5 linked regions of the Callithrix jacchus genome follow. The protein of the gene in region 1 purifies or fractionates together with the protein of each later gene. This does not show direct contact. Links are inferred from orthologs where the notes say so. Each region holds a gene or a part of one and is shown on either strand. Other genes may lie near its edges.

Region 1 (3,516 bases):
CAAAAAATTTATCCCTTATACATTCTGTTTAATTGGGCAAGATGAAATCCTTCTGTTTCTTTCAGTAGAGCTGAAACTTTTAATTTTCAGTTCCCTAAATCCTTTTTTAAAATGTAGTTTCATCTTAAATTACATGATTTTTTTAAATGTAGTTAGGAAGTTAAAATGTGATATTAAAGTATAATTAAAATATAGTTCCAATCTAAAAAGAAATTATTAGATTGCATTATTGAGTTTCAAAGACCATTTTCTGAAGACTTTTTCTTAAAACTTACTAAAATACTAAACTTGTGCGCTTTGTTCATATACATTGATAAGATACTTACATTCACAGGTATTATATTTACAACTAATGATTTTTTTATTTATTATTGTAGATCATACCTCACTCCTGTTAGGGATGAAGAGTCTGAATCCCAAAGAAAAGCAAGATCTAGACAAGCAAGACAATCTAGAAGATCAACACAGGTATCGTTAATATAATTAATATATACAACTTACATAAGTAGCATGTAAAACATATATATATATATATATATATATATATATATATACATACATGTATACACACACACACACTTGTAAAACAAATTACCTTTCTCTTTTTCACTTTGTTGTGAAAATATTGATGTCAGTATATAGTATGAGTAAATCCTTAAAAGGTAAGGATCGCTCTAGTAATTCTCCCACAGTCTTTTGTATGGTTTCACTGTTACTATTATATTTCATCTAATTAGCATACTTGTTTGTGTCTTTTTGAGTTTTTTTAAATCCTTATTTCTAATACAGCACAGAGTATTGGTGTTAGAATGAATTAATCATATATGATGTCTAATAACTGAGTATTTGGAAGGTGGGGGGCAGAGAATAGTCTCTTATATTAGGTATATTAAACAGCTAATGTTCAAGTATGAAAAAAAATGCCATTCAGGCTGGTGATCTCCTTACCTCCTCTTTGCCATTCTAATTATGCTAAATATGATGTATACTTTTGTGTCTCTTTTCCACAGTCCAGATTCAGCTGTCTTATCCTTACCATTACTTAGCTTACAAGCTGAACTATTTGCTAGGGCCTTAATATACTTTTTTTGTCTTTATACTTTTCACTTCTTGAAATCTGACCTGTTCTTTAAGGTCAAATCTTGAAAAATTTATTGAACTCTCTTTTAAGCCTTAACAGTTATCATGCATGTATGTGTTTATGTGCACACGCACACACACACACACATAGACATAAATATTTATAATGTAATATACAAACAGTATATATGTTGGCTATTCTTCCCTACTCTGAACTTGTGGGGAACACTTATATGCATAAAGTATTTGTCATATCTTTTACCATTTTGTCAATTTCTGAATACAGAGGTGATTTCTTATCTACATTTATATCTTCCCCAGTACCTATCATTGTGCTTGCTAATGGTGATTCTTCATAGAATGAATGTAACTTGCTGTTTCCATTTGCAAACCAATTCTAAACATGCATATTTGTCTTTTAATGCATTTGTATATAATATATCCATTACTAAAATATTCCTTTGAAACAAGATTTAATGCATCTCATAATTATATGATCTTTTTGTGTGTACAGGGAGTGACATTAACTGATCTTCAAGAAGCTGAGAAAACTATAGGAAGAAGTCGTTCTACTCGAACCAGAGAACAAGAAAATGAAGAAAAAGAAAAAGAGGAAAAAGAAAAACAAGATAAAGAGAAACAAGAAGAAAAGAAGGAGTCAGAAACATCTAGAGAAGATGAATATAAACAAAAGTACTCCAGAACATATGATGAGGTAACAGTATATCAAATGATATGAACAGTTCTTACATCCTCAGCATGCAAGAGATTTATATACCAACAAACCATATACAAAATACTTCAGAGAATTTTAGCTGGAAATCTGAATTACTTTGGCATGATTAGAACACTACTTTTTCTTTGAAACGAATTTTTAAATACTTTATATGTTTTTGTATTTAATGTTTCAAATGGATTTTGATCTTAATGTTTCACAGACTTATCAGCGTTATAGGCCAGTATCAACTTCAAGTTCAACCACTCCATCCTCTTCACTTTCTACTATAAGCAGTTCACTCTATGCTTCAAGTCAACTAAACAGGCCAAATAGTCTTGTAGGTATAACGTCTGCTTACTCCAGAGGAATAACAAAAGAAAATGAAAGAGGTAAGAATACTAAATTTTGAAAACACTTTGCTTTCTTTGTATAATATAATTCTTTGAATTAGGGTTTCCTAAATAATAATTTGAATAAAAAGGAACAACATCCTAACTTGTGATTCATTGAACCTAAACAGAAAGAATATGAAGGTCGAGAATGAGAAAAGTAGAAAACAGATATAGAAAATAGTATGACCTACAGTTGATTTTAATATTTTTATAACCCAATGCTTCACAAAAGTCTTCATGTCCACCTATAAAGAAAAGTTAATATTGAACTGGTGGGTGACTATTTCTAGAAGCAGTTCATTAATGTAGTACTTCTCAGATGCTTTAAGCTATTTCTTGCCTACTGTGGAGAGCATACCATTTAAATGTTTTTTGTGAAATTGTTGTAAACTAAAATTACTTAATACATGTAACGATCTCACCAAACACATTTTTTATGCTTATTTCTTGAAAAATACATTTCTTTCTCAACTATATATTGGCATATTGATACTCATTATTACCATTTCCTATTTTATATAAACTTTCTATTTAAATTCTGAGTAATTCCTACTTTAAATCAGAGATAAATACTAAATAAAATTATTTTTAATTATAGGCTTTATATATTTTAAAACTGTTAGGAGTAAGGCCTGCATAGTGTTTGTGAAAATTTGTAACCAACATTTAAAACTAGACATACTCACTTCAAACTTCATATTTTTGGCATTTCTTGAAAAGTAGGCAGATCCGGCAACACTGGATCTGAATTCTCACCTATCAGCAATTAGCTGGAGCTATGTAGTAGCAGCTGCTTGCGTTCCATCCCCCTGGATAGTCCCCTGGCCCATTTTACCCATTGATATTACCTGGATAGCTGCTGTGGGCATTGGAGTTTGAGATCTTTGCCCTAAACCTATTCCAAAATAGCTTTTAAAACTTCTTAATACTCTATTGGGGTGTCTTAAAATCATTTTGTTTCATGTACATCTGTATTTATTAGCATATTCATAGTCTCTAATATTCTTCTAGTGTGTAAGCCTGAAGCCATTTTAACTGTCTCAGGAATGAAACGGAAATACTAAAACTAACATTTTTGTGCTGATTCATTTTTAATAAACATTTTCCGGAAAAAAACAGCCTTGCTCTTGGATACTAACTAATGGAAATGAAATGAAGCGAATATTGTATCACTGCCTGGCAAAGACTGGCAATATTAGAAGCAGAAACTAATAAATTTGATTCCCGCTAGTTGTTCCATCATTAAGAACTGTTTTTATTCCATATAGTTAGTGTCAGCTTTGAATATAATAACGATTTCCTTCTCAGGCCTTAATAACTAGAACC
Region 2 (3,516 bases), on another chromosome or scaffold:
ACCATCTCAATTTTTGTGGGTCAGCTTAGTGGGTCCTCTGGCTCTGGGTCTCTCACAAGGCTCCAATTAAGTGTGATCTCGGGCTGCAGTCATCTGAAGGTTGAACTATGAAAGGATTCAGTTCCTTATAGACTGATGGACTAAAAGCCTCAGCTTCAAATGAGCTGTTGGCCAGAGGCCTCCCTCAGTTCTTTGCTACATGGGATGCTTCTTCATTAGATAGCTGGTTTCATCAGCAAGTATGAAGAAGGTGAGAGTGCAAACAAGATGAAAGTCACAGTCTTTTGTAACTTAATCTTGGAAGTGACAGCCCATCTCACTTTTGCTTGTTAGAAGTAAGTTACTAAATATAGCCCATACTCAAGGGCAGGGGAAGATTACACAGGATGTAAACGTTGGGAATCATTTCAAAGAAACTGCTTATAACAGTAACCAATTTTTGTAAAACTGACTTTTTCTCTTTTTAGGAGATATTCATGGACAGTATACAGATTTACTGAGATTATTCGAATATGGAGGTTTCCCACCAGAAGCCAACTACCTTTTCTTAGGAGATTATGTGGACAGAGGAAAGCAGTCTTTGGAAACCATTTGTTTGCTATTGGCTTATAAAATAAAATATCCAGAGAACTTCTTTCTCTTAAGAGGAAACCATGAGTGTGCTAGCATCAATCGCATTTATGGATTCTATGATGAATGTAAGTGAAAATAAAGACTTAGAAAAGTAATTCATGGAAGGATTGCCAAATAATTTTCTGGTTCAGAAGAGTTCCTTTGATTCAGAGTTTTTTCAAAATAAGATCTATCAGGCATACGCCAGGAAGAGGAACCTGAAACTGGGAAACGTCACTAATTAAATTGGTTCCTTCAGATATCCTTGGTCATGTTCCAGATTGACTGCAGCTTACCTGGCTGAAGAGGTTCTTTTAAAATTAGTTTATCTAGTAAACCATCCAGGCAAAACAGAAGTCTGTGGCTTCTGGTTTTCTATTGTCCATTAAGGTTTTAGCTCTCAGCATTCTTGTGGTATGACAAAAGCTCTTATTAGTCCTGTGTCACAAGAGTTATTGAGAAGTTCTATGAAACTATTTAAAAGTCAAAGTTTAATATTATTAGAATTTAAATCTGTGTCTATAAACCTTGAAAGACAAAGATACTGAATACTCTGGGGTATCCTTAGTTTTATTCTCTTTTTCATTAGTAGCAAATCACTGATTTCGTTTTGTGCAGTAATGTTTCCAAGTATTATTATTAAAATACCCTACTAGATTCAAATGTGGTCTTTTGGTTTTATTAGATAAGAGTGCAAAAGTATATGTTTGGTTAATTACAACTTAGAATCAGTTGTGATTTTCAAATTGATTTCTTTTCATTGCTGTTTTCCCTATTAGAATCTACTTTTGCTCTTTTTTTAATCCTTAATTTTGTTAGAGACTTATTCAAAGTCGTCTTCTCGATTTATATAATGATTTGACAAAGTTTGAGGGTATATGTGCCAGGCACTATTGTGAACACTGTGCATGAAGCACTACACAATACAGATGATCTCTGTTCTCATGGAGCTTACATTCTAATAGGAATGATTCTGCATTTGATTTTATATTATATTTTTATTTCTGAGATGTGCTGTGTGGTTTGAATTACTTAAATCAGACTAGAAGAGAGAAAGTGGGTTTGAGTACATCAAACTACAACATTCTTCCTAAAGCTACATCAGAGATGGAGGTATATTTTTAAAGGATAAAAGATAGGCAGGAATGTCCTTGGGGATAGAAATGACATCAAATAAAATAATGTATAGGAGAGCAACTTGTAAACAATACTTTGAGTTATATACTTATAAAGGAGCAGGCTGTGGCATAAAAGCACAGGAAGTTAGTACTTACGTCTTTCATCTCTTCCCTAGGTTAGCAGTTGTACCTTATTACCAAATTCAGGAAAATCAAATGACTCTAAAAAGGTGAACATACACTTGAGGTTGTCTTTGTTGTAGCTTTTTATACTAGGCTATAGGAAAATTATAGCCTTTGTGCCTTGGCACCATACTTGCTATAGTGCCAAGTTGTAATTCACACAAAGGAGAATACCAGTTAAACACTTGGAAATTTTCCTTCATTGGCAATAAGTTTATACTGTGTTTCTCAATACACTGTTAAATGGACAGTTTCCAGAGGCAACCTTTCCCTTTTGCTTGCTTGTTTGGCTAGTTCACACATTGGAGAGGAAAAAATGAACTATGAGGCCTATTAGACTGTTTAAAAATTGCTATATTATAGGCTGGGCGCGGTGGCTCAAGCCTGTAATCCCAGCACTTTGGGAGGCCGAGGCGGGTGGATCACGAGGTCAAGAGATCGAGACCATCCTGGTCAACATGGTGAAACCCCATCTCTACTAAAAATACGAAAAATTAGCTGGGCATGGTGGTGCGTGCCTGTAATCCCAGCTACTCAGGAGGCTGAGGCAGGAGAATTGCCTGAACCTAGGAGGCAGAGGTTGCGGTGAGCCGAGATCGTGCCATTGCACTCCAGCCTGGGTAACAAGAGCGAAACTCCATCTCAAAAAAAATTGTTATATTATAATGATCTTAACAGGCAGACTGTTTGATGAATTTCATAAAACCCTTAGCACAATCTGTGGGTTTTTTAAAGTGTTAGATTTGATTAGGTTTATTTAAGTTGTCAGAAATTGTATGTATTTGTGATGGACAACATGATGTTTTGAACATCATGAGAGGATCTTATCTTCCTGCCTATAACCATTGCAGAATGGTTAAATCTAGCTGATTTAACATATGCATTATCTCAAAAGGTTAACACTTATAATTTAGTATTTTGCAAAGATACAATATAGTGTTTTGACTATAGTCACTATGTTGTACAATAGATCTTATGTATTTATTCCTCCTACCCAACTGATACTTTGTATTCTTTGACCAACATCTTCCCATCCCACCCTTACCCCAGCATAATCTTTGAAGTCTTGGTAACTTTACTGAAGGTATTGAATATTTACTATATTTGTTGCCTTTTAAAAAGTATGTAAATAACATTTATGCATTATAGAAAAAGTTCTGTATAGATAAACATGAAGAAAGAAATGAAATCATTCATAATGCTATGGCTTTGAGATAACAGATGAGAACAGTTTTAGATTTTTTAATTTATTCTAACTATTCTTTTTATAGGCAAACGAAGATTTAATATTAAATTGTGGAAGACCTTCACTGATTGTTTTAACTGTCTGCCTATAGCAGCCATTGTGGATGAGAAGATCTTCTGTTGTCATGGAGGTAGACTAGCAAATTTGCCTTACAGATTTTCTTATTTTATTATTCAGAAAATACCTACAATAATTAGACTGTGGGAAAACAAAGCAGTGCTTGTGTGAAAGCTCAAGTGATTTAAAACTGTTTTAAACATGGCTAAAACCTCTTTTAATAATTACAGATTTATTTATAAATGAAAATGTAATGCTTTAAATATAGTTTCACATATGAAGAGGATAACTGGAGTTGTT
Region 3 (3,516 bases), on another chromosome or scaffold:
TCACGCCTGTAATCCCAGCAGTTTGGGAGGCCGAGGCAGGTGGATCACGAGGTCAAGAGATCGAGACCATCCTGTTCAACAAGGTGAAACCCCGTCTCTAGTAAAAATACAAAAAGTTAGCTGGGAATGGTGGCACGTGACTATAATCTCAGCTACTCAGGAGGCTGAGGCAGGAGAATTGCTTGAACCCAGGAGGCGGAGGTTGCCGTGAGCCAAGATCTCGCCATTGCACTCCAGCCTGGGTAACAAGAGCGAAACTCCATCAAAAAAAAAAAAAAAAAGAAAGCCCCTTGAGGTGGTGGCTCACACCTGTAATCCCAGCACTTTGGGAGGCCGAGATGGGTGGATCACAAAGCCAGGAGTTCAAGATCAGCCTGGCCAAGATGGTGAAACCCCATCTCTAATAAATAAAATAATCAATCAATCACATCTGCTACAAATACTGCAGACCTCACCTCTTCCCCTGGCTATCTTGCCCACATTAGTTTCAAGGCCTCTCACAATAGTTTCAAGGCCTCCCCTTATCACCTCCCTCCTCCACCACCCTGCAGTTAACAAGTGTGTGCACCTAATAACCTGTGGAAACCAGAACTTGGGGCCAGTGGTCCCCATGCTTGTGTTGGTCCCCTGAACCCATGCTGTAAAATTCTACTCTTCTGTCTTTGTCTTTATTTCCTTTTCTCAATCCTTTGTCACCGCCAAGACTAAGGGCACCCATGAATGGGGTCGGGGCTGGTACCCAACAAATTTACCCTTCTATTACAGGAGGTTGAGCATGTACCTGGATGTGAAAAGAGTGCTCTCTCACCTTATGTGTTGCATTATTTCAGCCATTCAGACATTCTTGAATAGTAAAGGCACAGCCAAAGGTCTCTCCTGTCATCTCAGGCCTTGCCTAACACCCAGCGTTGTGTCTTTTCTTTCCTACCAACTCAGAATGCAGATTTGTCTCCATGTTTCCACATTGCAGCAGAAAATTTACTTAGTGTGGTATCTCCCTTTCTTGTCTGTGTACCTGGTGGAATGTTATTTAAAATTTTATATCTTCTCTCCTGTCTGTCTGCTTTCTTACCTAGTACAGTGTTATTTATAATCAAATACTTATAAGCTATGTTATTTTTGACTTGACATTTTGAATTTTGCCACTTGGTTCAGTTCTAGTATCTGGTTGTTGGTTTTTGTTTTTTTTTTCCTAACGGAGACAAGGTCTCACTGCCTAGGCTGGAGTGCAGTGGTATGATCTCTGCTTACTACAAGCTCTGCCTCTCGGGCTCAAGGAATCCTCCCACCTCAGTTTTCCAAGTAGCTGGGACTGCAGGTGTGCACCACCATACTCCGAAATTTTGCTTTTGTTGCTCAGGCTGGAGTGCAATGGTCTTGGCTTGTCTCAACCTCTACCTCCCGGGTTCAAGTGATTTTCCTGGTTCAGCCTCCCGAGTAGCTGGGATTACAGGCATGCGCCATGATGCCTGGCTAGTTTTGTATTTTTTACCAGAGATGAGGTTTCTCCATGCTGGTCAGGCTGGTCTCAAACTCCTGGCCTCAGGTGATCCGTCTGCCTCGGCCTCCCAAAGTGCTGGAATTAAAGGTGTGCACTGCACCCAGCCCACACTCAGCTAATTATTAAGGATTGCTTTGTAGAGATAGGGTCTCAAATTTCCGATTTTGACAAATTTCAACCTAAAATAAATTAAATATACTTTAATTTGAGCTTGATGCTCTTAAAAGTAAATATTCTTGTGTTTTACTGTTTTAGACTGTCATTTGAATGTACTATGGTTAGTGTCACTTAAGTGTGTAGTAGCATTAACCTTGAGCTCTTGTGGTTGTTTTTCCCATTACAGGTAGAGTTGGCTTTGTGGGACACAGCTGGACAGGAAGATTATGATCGCCTGAGACCCCTCTCCTACCCAGACACCGATGTTATTCTGATGTGTTTTTCCATCGACAGTCCTGATAGTTTAGGTGAGTGGTCCTGCGCCCAGTGTTTGTCACTGCAAGATGTATCCACCTAGGCTGGGCGAGGCAGGTGGGTCACCTGAGGTCAGGAGTTGGAGACCTGCCTGGTCAGCATGGCGAAACCCTGTCTCTACAAATACAAAAATTAGCCGGGTGTGGTGACATGCACCTGTAATCCCAGCTACTTGGGAGGGTGAGGCAGGAGAATCCGGGAGGCAGAGGTTGCAGTGATTTGGAATCGAGTCATTGCACTCCAGTCTGGGAGACAAGAAAATCTCTGTCTCAAAAAAGAAAGAAAGAAAATGTATCTAACTTGTTGGGGGATAGTTGCATGTGCCTGTAATCCCAGCTACCCAGGAAGCTGAGGTAGGAGAATTGCTTGAGCTCAGGAGTTTGTGTTTAGCCTGGGACTAGTGACCCCTGGCTCTAAAAAATTAATTAGGTTCAGGTGCTGTAACTCTTGCTTCTAATCCCAGAACTCTGAGAGGCCAAGGTGGGAGGATCACTTGAAGCCAAGAGTTTCAGATCAGCCTCAGCAACCTAGCAAGACTCCTTCTCTATTAAAATTAAAGGTTTTGTTGGAAGGCCGAGGCGGGTGGATCATGAGGTCAAGAGATTGAGACCATCCTGGTCAACATGGTGAAACCCCGTCTCTACTAAAAGTACAAAAAATTAGCTGGGCATGGTGGTGCATGCCTGTAATCCCAGGTACTCAGGAGTCTGAGGCAGGAGAATTGCCTGAACCCAGGAGGCGGAGGTTGTGGTGAGCCGAGATCGTGCCATTGCACTCCAGCCTGGGTAACAAGAGTGAAACTCCGTCTCAAAAAACAAAAATAAAAAATAAAGATTTCGGCCGGGCACAGTGGCTCATGCCTGTAATCCTAGCACTTTGGGAGTCTGAGGCAGATGGATCACCTGAGCTCAGGAGTTCAAGACCAGCCTGGGCAACATGGCGAAACCCTGGCTCTACAAAAATGCAAAAATTAGCTGGGCCTGATGGTGTGTGCACCTGAACTTCAAGCTACTTGGGAGGCTGAGGCCGGAGAATCATTTGAGACTGGGAGTCGGAGGGTGCAGTGAGCTGAGATCATGCCATTGCACTCTTGCCTGGGTGACAGAAGTGAAATTCTGTCTCAAAAGATAAAGATTTTATTTGAAAATAATTAATTTGGTCAGATGCAGTGGCTCACACCTGTAATCCCAGCATTTTGAGAGGCCAAGGCAGTTGGATCACCTGAAGCCAGGGGTTCAAGACCATCCTGGCCAACATGGTGAAACCCCGTCTCTACTAAAAATATAAAGATTAGCTGGACATGGCGGCATGTTCCTATAATCGAGCTACTTGGGAGGCTGAGGCATGAGAATTGCTTGAACTGGGAGGCAGAGGTTGCAATGAGCTGAGATTGCGCCCCTACACTCCAGCCTGGGCTACAGGCCAGGTGTGGCTAAAGGCTCTGTGCGGATGCTCATGCCTGTAATCCCAGCACTTTGGGACGCTGAGGTAGGCAGATCATTTGAGATCAGGAGTTTTGCCTTCACACAGGTTAACTTGGAAGA
Region 4 (3,516 bases), on another chromosome or scaffold:
CAGCAAGCTAAGATTGCATGACTGCACTCCAGCCTGGGCAACAGAGCAAGACTCCATCTCAAAAAAAATAGAAATAATAATATAATGATGTCTAAATCAAACTGCCACATATTTCCTGTTTGTTCAAACTCCCAAAGGCAGAGAAAAAAATAGATTTTTTGGGGGTGGGAGGAAGGATGGTATAACACCCAAAATGTTTGACTGTGTGGTGGCAGAATCAATATTAGAACCTTTTTTTTAAACACATTACTGCTCTAAAGGTTGGCTACAGTTTCAATCATTTAAGTTTCTTGTCCACCTATAGCATTTTGGCTGAAAGAAAAGCAAAAGTGAAAATCAGATCACAGGCAACTTGAAAACATGACTTACTGTGACATTTGTGGCAGTGGCTCCCGAGCATGGAGTGATTGTCACTGAGAAGGCACTGGGGGAAGCGGGAGTCATCCCAGCAGCAGCCTGCTGTGGGCTCCAGTTGTGTCACTCAGTGGTCAGCGTGGTTTGGTTTTTATCGTCAGAATACTCCACTCGACACTACCCTTTCGTTCAGTTCTCAGTGTCTCACTTGAGGTTAATGCAGCATGACTATGGGACCAGCAATTGAAATTCTTTTTTCAGCAGGCTAATGACTTGAATGTGTGACTATAAAATGCGGGTTTCTGGGATGTCTGGAGCCCTCTCTGGGTCCCCTTTGTGTCTCACTGCTCTGAAGATGCCATTTTGATGCTGAGGTGGCCTATGTTTCACTGGTCAGGCTTGAAGTTGAATCCCACAGTCCTAACTGCTCTCACGTGCTTCCACAGGCTGAAATCAGAGCTACGGCTTTCAATGAGCAAGTGGACAAGTTCTTTCCCCTCATTGAAGTGAACAAGGTATAGTAGTGTCGGCTTTGGGGCCGACACTCACTGAGGATGAGAGGACTGTGGTCCAGTGGAGGGTTGTGTGGTGGCAGACCAGGGTTTCTTGTCCAATTTGATGACAGTCTGAAGTTCTGTGGCTTGGCCTCCTTTGCAGGTGTATTATTTCTCAAAGGGCACCCTGAAGATTGCTAACAAACAATTCACAGCTGTTAAAAATGACTATGAGATGACCTTCAATAATGAGACTTCCGTCATGCCCTGTGAAGATGATCATCACTTGCCTACCGTTCAGTTTGATTTCACAGGGATTGATAACCTAGAGAGCAAGTCTAAAGACTCACTTGTCGGTAAGTTGGTGTATGGGAAGGAACAGCAGTGATGAGTGGTATTCTGTGCAGTGTCCAGGGCGGTATTCCTGTGCAGCGTGGGGAGTGGTATTCCTGTGCAGTGTCCGAGTCGGTGCTCCTGTGCAGCGTGGGGGGCGATGCTCCTGTGCAGTGTCCAGGGCAGTGCTTCTGTGTAGTGTCCGGAGTGGTGTTCCTGTGCAGCGTGGGGGATGGTGCTCCTGTGCAGTGTCCGGGGCGGTGTCAGACCCCAGTGCCTGCCATTCACCCTCCCATCCCCTTCAGCTGGAGCCCTGACGGTCTCCTGCTAACACGTTGTGGGTGTGTTTCAGACATAATTGGGATCTGCAAGAGCTATGAAGATGCCACGAAAATCACAGTGAGGTCTAACAACAGAGAGGTTGCTAAGAGGAATATCTACTTGATGGACACGTCGGGGAAGGTGGTGACTGCTACACTGTGGGGGGAAGATGTAAGTGAGGGCGGAGCTGTCAGCGCGCACGGGAGGAGCTCCTGGGGGAGCAGGTGGTCTTGTCCTATGAGTTGGGGGCTTTGGCCGTGTAGATGGGAAGGGCCGTGCTGTCTGGCAAATATTTGAAATCCTTTATCTTCTGTGAGATTTGCTGTGATTCAAGCTTTACGGAGGCAAATGCTCCTCCCCCTAACTCTGGGAAAGTAGTGCTAGTTTGATGTGTCTTTGAGAAGATCGTTATGTGTGAAGTCTGTCTTGTGTAGATTCTATGTACATTGATTACATTCACTCACTATTGACTGTTTGCCTTGTTTTCTATAAAAACCTTCTGTGTTCTTCCTGCGAGTGACACGTGTGTATGTCTGGTGTTTGTTTTACAGGCTGATAAATTTGATGGTTCCAGACAGCCTGTGCTGGCTATCAAAGGAGCCAGAGTCTCAGATTTCGGTGGACGGAGCCTCTCTGTGTTGTCTTCCAGCACCATCATCGTGAATCCTGACATCCCAGAGGCCTATAAGCTTCGTGGATGGTAGGTTTCGTGAGGTGAAACAAAGGGCTGTTTGAGACTGGGTTTGAGGAGAGCTGGTTACCATGTGTGAGCCTCTGCCAAGCAGAAGTCTTTGTTAGGGAAGTGAGTGGTGCATTCGTTTCTTGGAGGCGTTTTACCTTCTGAGAAGATGGCTTTAAAACCCTTGAGCTGACAAACCTGGAATCACATCACGAACCAGAGAGTCCCAGGAGGCGATTAGAATGTGGTGCTGCCTGCTAACCTCGGTCCTGCCAACGAGCGCGTGGCAGGTGCTGAGGCGTCTTTCTTTCCAGGGTTCACACTCCAGGCCTCTGTGGCGTGGGGGGAGCATGTGCTTTCTTTTTCTGTCGAGTGTTTGGTGCTGATCTCATCTTCCAGTGTGTATTCACTGGACTCTGATAAAGTGTGGTGAGAACAACAGGCTTTTTGTTAGGATTAGATTGTTATTCCCATAGCACTCAGGGGATGAGAAGAGGCTGTTAAAATCTCCTCACTGTCTCTAGCCTTTTAGGACATTAAAACTCGGTCTTAAAAGAGTACTTGAAACTGAAACACAGTATGCAAGGATTGATGTGGTCAGGCAGGCGCTTTCACTAGCCCAGCTGAAATAACTCCTGTAGCTCTAGTCACGGGGCTAGCGTGTCGGTTTCCAGCTGTGTCTTAGGATTTAAGCAGCTACAGAATGAGTTCATTTTACATACTCCTCCTCTGCTTTGAGTCATGTGAACCAGTGGCACTGGTGTTTGACCAGTTTCATGAAGCATGTTGTGGAATGTTCATGTCACGTAAGCCACCCTCGTGAGCACAGTCCATACATCTCTACTGAGCTGTTGTGATAGCTGGCATTGTAGAAAGCAGGGCCCAGTCTGACCAGAAATAGCCGCAGATTGCTTTGGTCTTACTGCTTGATTTCCTTTTGGGCTGTGGAACTCGGCCCCAGGTTAACTGCATTCCCACATGAAGGTCTTCATATTTTACTTGTCAATAATCATGATCCCAGTCAACATAAGGAGCACGGCTGTCCCCAGAATCAAATAACCTGGCACTGATCAAAGGGCTGCTCAGTGTGCATACTTTACCTGGACGGGGATTAGAGGTGTTTAGATCTTGGCTGTGACCATGCAGGATTTTGATGGGGGTGGCCTGTCTCCATGCTCTGTTGACTCCTGATGAGTGCATGTTCCTTGGAGTCTTTGAAACCATAAACTGGTGTAGCTGCTGGTGGTGAAACAGACGTACGGCCTTTGCTGTGCCCTGTGGGGGATTTAGACGCTTACCTGACAGGAGAAGGCGGCTGTCTGCAGCATAGGGTGA
Region 5 (4,209 bases), on another chromosome or scaffold:
TAATCTTCTCTGTATCGTTCCAATTTTAGTATATGTTCTGCCGAAGTGAGCACAATTTTTTTTTTTTTTTTTTTGATACGTTCTCTCTCTCTGTCACCCAAGCTGGAGTGCAGTGGCGCCATCTCAGCTCACTGCAACCTCTGCCTCCTGGTTCAAGTGATTCTCCTGCCTCAGCCTCCTGAGTAGCTGGAACCACAGGCACGTACCACCATGCCCAGCTAATTTTTTGTATTTTTAGTAGAGACGGGGTTTCACTGTGTTAGCCAGGATGGTCTCAATTTCCTGACCTTGTGATCTGCCTGCCTTAACCTCCCAAAGTGCTGGGCTTACAGGTGTGAGCCACGGTGCCTGGCCAATTTTTGTGTTTTGTGTTGAGACGAGGTTTCGCCATGTTGCCCAGGCTGGGCGCAAGAGATCATTATGCCTCAGCCTCCCAAAGTGCTGGAATTACAGGCCTGAGCCACGATGGCCAGCCCACCTCCAGTTTTGAGGTTACTGGTGTGTAAAGCACCCAACTCAGGGTTCCAACAGTAATTACGGTTCATGTAATGTCTACTCTTTATAATTCTTTTTACGTGCACACCCTGCAATATTACTGTGCTACTCAAAGCTTATTATGGGGCCAGGTGTGATGGCTCAGGCCTGTGATCCCAGCCTGGCTAGCATGGAAACTCCCCGTCTAATAAAAATACAAAAATTAGCGGGCGCGGTGACATCCGCCTGTAGTCCCTGTTACTCTGGAGGCTGAGGCATTGTCATCGCTTTAACCCAAGAGGGGAAGGTTGCATTAAACCAAGGTCGCGCCACTGCCTTCCAGCCTGTGGGACAGAGCAAAACCCGCCTCAAAAAAAAAAAGCTAATTATGGGACTTATAAGAAAATATTAATTTAGCATGCCCCAAGGACCAAAGTGCGCTGGGAATTCTAGCTGTCTTTGAGTGTGGTCAGCCGCCTGGGGGCCACGGAGACCCACGAGGAAGGGGGTCCTCGGTGCAAGCGAGGTCCAGGTCTTGAACCAGCCTGTCGCTATGTCTTGAACCTCAGTTTCCCTTTCTGCATTTGGAGAAGTTAACCCTCAGTGCGGGGCAGCCGGTTATTAACGTGTTCACGACACCCTCCACCCAGGGCAGGGGTGGGAAGGGCTGTTCAGCTTTTGAAAGAGAAAAACAACTTCCACATTCCTTCCGGCCCCACATCCTCGAAACGGAGCTGGGCGCCTCCTCTCGGGCGTAACTAGCCTCGGCCCCGCCCCCGACAGACACCGCCCCCAGCCCGCCGCCGAGGCCCCGCCCCCTGGGCCTCCGCGCCTCACATCCAGCGGGGGCGCTAGAGCGCGGGGGGCCGGGCAGGGCGGGCCCGGGAGGCCCGGAGGCGGAGCGGCGGGCCGGGGGCGGACTGGGGCGGGCGGAAGGAGAGCCAGGCCGGAAGGAGGCAGCCGGAGGGCGGGAGACGGGAGCGGGCCCGGAGCTGCTGGACTGGAGCGGCGGCGCCGCCATGTCCGACAGCGAGAAGCTCAACCTGGACTCGATCATCGGGCGCCTGCTGGAAGGTTGGCCGGGGTGGGGAAGGTCCGCGTCCGCCGCGCCCTGGACCCCTGCCCAGCCCGGAAGTGGCGCGCGGGCGGGCCCCCGGGGCCAGCTTAGACTGGGCGGGGACGCGCCGCGAGGTTCCGTGGCCGCAGCCGCCCCCCCCCGCGGACGCGCCTGAGAGGTCCGGGGCCGGCTTCGAGGCGCGGAGCAGCCCCCTCTCCCCGGCCGGGGGCTCACGGGTTGCCTCGGCTCTTGGGGCGAGGGAGAAACCCGGGAAGCCCGGTCCAGGGAGGTGTCTTGCGCTGTGAGGTTTTGGGCGGCAGCCCCCTGCGCACGACAGTCGCCTCCCGAGCCTTTGAGGATAACTAGGGGGGCTTCCCTTGGGAGGCTTGAGGCCGACGTCCCAGGAGGCTCAGCAGCAACAGCTGCCTCTGGGCAAGGAGGGGCCGAGGAGGCCTAGGCGCCCCCGGAGGTATCCACGGGGCCACCGTGTCGCCCACCCTCCCCCTGTCTGAGAGGCCAGGGTCCTGACTCCGCATTGCGCCCCCAGTGCAGGGCTCGCGGCCTGGCAAGAATGTACAGCTGACAGAGAACGAGATCCGCGGTCTGTGCCTGAAATCCCGGGAGATTTTCCTGAGCCAGCCCATTCTCCTGGAGCTGGAGGCACCCCTCAAGATCTGCGGTGAGCAGCCCCCAGCCTCGCCCAGGCCCCTTTGGCTTCCTAAAAGTGGCACTGGCCCCCACAAAGTTCCTGGAGCCCTCCTCCCTTGAGCCTAGTCCTGGCCCTGGGTTCAAGTCTAGACCCAGCATCTAGCTTACTCGGTTCCATGGGTCACAGGTGACATCCACGGCCAGTACTACGACCTTCTGCGACTATTTGAGTATGGGGGCTTCCCTCCGGAGAGCAACTATCTCTTTCTGGGGGACTATGTGGACAGGGGCAAGCAGTCCTTGGAGACCATCTGCCTGCTGCTGGCCTACAAGATCAAGTACCCCGAGAACTTCTTCCTGCTCCGTGGGAACCACGAGTGTGCCAGCATCAACCGCATCTATGGTTTCTACGATGAGTGTGAGTGGTCTGAGCACCCAGGGTTGCCCGGGTCCCGAAACGCTCCTTGCTATTCAGTGGGACCCTCACATTGGCTTCGTATCTGACAGACACTTGCTAGACTGTGCGCTCCACGAAGGCAGGGCCCGCTCCATTCTCGTGCCTGCCCTGCCCTGCCTGGCACGGGGTCTGGGGCATGGTTGCTGACTGGAAGGCTGCTGGTATTCTGGTGCTTGCTCCCAGGGCCCTGCCTGGTGAGGCTCCACTTACATCTGCTACTAAGCACTTAGGATGTGTTTGCAGATGGGCTCAGCTGTCCAGAAGCTGAGATAAACCAGACCTGTACTTGGCCCAGCTTATGGGTGGGGGTGTTTGGGGAGTGCCAGCCCTGAGGCCGGTCCAGATTGGAACTCAGTTTTCATTGGACTTGGGTGCTTTAGAATTACTTCTGGCAGGAAGATCACTTGGACCCAGGAGCTCCAAGTTACAGTGAGCTATGATCTCGCCACTGCACTCCAGCTGACCCTGGGTGACAGAGCAAGACTGTTTAATTAAAAGTTAAAATAAAAAGTAAAGAGAATAGTTCCTGGAAGGCTGATAGGCTGCAGGGGCAGGAGTGGGGACAGGGGCAGGGTGCAGGGTGGTTTGCCTCCAAGCCTCTCTCCTCCCATCTGCGTCTGAATAGCCCAGGGACCCAGGTGGAGGGTGGGGTAGGCGGGCCCCTCACAGCCATCTCCTGGGCAGGCAAGAGACGCTACAACATCAAACTGTGGAAAACCTTCACGGACTGCTTTAACTGCCTGCCCATCGCAGCCATCGTGGATGAAAAGATCTTCTGCTGCCACGGAGGTGAGGGAGGGGACGGCTGGGGACAAGGAGACCTGGCCGCATCCCCCATTGCCGGGCCAGCTCTCCTTAGGTCTGTCTCATCTGGGAAGTCACTCCTTCTGGGAAGTGTCTCCCATACCCCTGTGCCGGGCTGCGCTGACTCCCTTGTGCATCCTACATGGAATAGGCTTGGCTTGTCTATCTCCCGGGAGCTCTGCGCTCCTGAGGGCGGGGACATCTTTGTGCCTCTTTGGGAACCTGCAAAAGCTGAGGGGAAGGGGATGACTTCTGCCGCCTGGGTGCCCAGGTGACCTGTGGAGGAATCAAGGGGGCAGTGGGAAAGGTGAGGCTGATTGGCCACAGCTTCCTGGAGTGAGGATGTCCTTGTTTGAGGATGTGGACTTCCCCCGGTCCCCCAGGCTTGTCCCCAGACCTGCAATCCATGGAGCAGATCCGGCGTATCATGCGGCCCACAGACGTGCCTGACCAGGGCCTGCTGTGTGACCTACTGTGGTCTGACCCTGACAAGGACGTGCAAGGCTGGGGCGAGAACGACCGTGGCGTGTCTTTTACCTTCGGAGCCGAGGTGGTGGCCAAGTTCCTGCACAAGCACGACTTGGACCTCATCTGCCGGGCGCACCAGGTGGGCTGGCAGCTCTGGCCTGGGGTGGGAGAAAGGGAGGCCAGTGCCAGCATGCAGAACTGACTGCTCTGGTCTGCACCCAGGTGGTAGAAGATGGCTATGAGTTCTTTGCCAAGAGGCAGCTGGTGACACTTTTCTCAGCTCCCAACTACTGTGGCGAGT

The links.
Region 2: the proteins of PPP1R12A (region 1) and PPP1CB purify together in Homo sapiens (affinity purification with mass spectrometry; 6 studies listed by BioGRID and IntAct, with this or other methods). This does not show direct contact. The link is inferred for Callithrix jacchus from reciprocal best matches to the Homo sapiens genes PPP1R12A and PPP1CB.
Region 3: the proteins of PPP1R12A (region 1) and RHOA fractionate together in Homo sapiens (co-fractionation; 3 studies listed by BioGRID and IntAct, with this or other methods). This does not show direct contact. The link is inferred for Callithrix jacchus from reciprocal best matches to the Homo sapiens genes PPP1R12A and RHOA.
Region 4: the proteins of PPP1R12A (region 1) and RPA1 fractionate together in Homo sapiens (co-fractionation; 3 studies listed by BioGRID, with this or other methods). This does not show direct contact. The link is inferred for Callithrix jacchus from reciprocal best matches to the Homo sapiens genes PPP1R12A and RPA1.
Region 5: the proteins of PPP1R12A (region 1) and PPP1CA purify together in Homo sapiens (affinity purification with mass spectrometry; 3 studies listed by BioGRID and IntAct, with this or other methods). This does not show direct contact. The link is inferred for Callithrix jacchus from reciprocal best matches to the Homo sapiens genes PPP1R12A and PPP1CA.

Annotation. Positions count from the first base shown.
Region 1 is NC_133510.1:82,498,306-82,501,821, reverse strand, and holds part of PPP1R12A (protein phosphatase 1 regulatory subunit 12A), read left to right. Parts: intron 1-377; coding exon 378-468; intron 469-1,594; coding exon 1,595-1,795; intron 1,796-2,018; coding exon 2,019-2,187; intron 2,188-3,516. UniProt on the Homo sapiens protein: Key regulator of protein phosphatase 1C (PPP1C). Mediates binding to myosin. As part of the PPP1C complex, involved in dephosphorylation of PLK1. Capable of inhibiting HIF1AN-dependent suppression of HIF1A activity.
Region 2 is NC_133515.1:86,265,303-86,268,818, reverse strand, and holds part of PPP1CB (serine/threonine-protein phosphatase PP1-beta catalytic subunit), read left to right. Parts: intron 1-467; coding exon 468-698; intron 699-3,184; coding exon 3,185-3,289; intron 3,290-3,516. UniProt on the Homo sapiens protein: Protein phosphatase that associates with over 200 regulatory proteins to form highly specific holoenzymes which dephosphorylate hundreds of biological targets.
Region 3 is NC_133516.1:31,971,357-31,974,872, reverse strand, and holds part of RHOA (transforming protein RhoA), read left to right. Parts: intron 1-1,844; coding exon 1,845-1,965; intron 1,966-3,516. UniProt on the Homo sapiens protein: Small GTPase which cycles between an active GTP-bound and an inactive GDP-bound state.
Region 4 is NC_133506.1:66,377,741-66,381,256, reverse strand, and holds part of RPA1 (replication protein A 70 kDa DNA-binding subunit), read left to right. Parts: intron 1-800; coding exon 801-869; intron 870-1,011; coding exon 1,012-1,204; intron 1,205-1,533; coding exon 1,534-1,673; intron 1,674-2,053; coding exon 2,054-2,202; intron 2,203-3,516. UniProt on the Homo sapiens protein: As part of the heterotrimeric replication protein A complex (RPA/RP-A), binds and stabilizes single-stranded DNA intermediates that form during DNA replication or upon DNA stress.
Region 5 is NC_133511.1:124,477,342-124,481,550, reverse strand, and holds the start of PPP1CA (serine/threonine-protein phosphatase PP1-alpha catalytic subunit), read left to right. Parts: upstream 1-1,396; 5' UTR 1,397-1,493; coding exon 1,494-1,548; intron 1,549-2,078; coding exon 2,079-2,210; intron 2,211-2,366; coding exon 2,367-2,597; intron 2,598-3,320; coding exon 3,321-3,425; intron 3,426-3,823; coding exon 3,824-4,047; intron 4,048-4,130; coding exon 4,131-4,209. UniProt on the Homo sapiens protein: Protein phosphatase that associates with over 200 regulatory proteins to form highly specific holoenzymes which dephosphorylate hundreds of biological targets.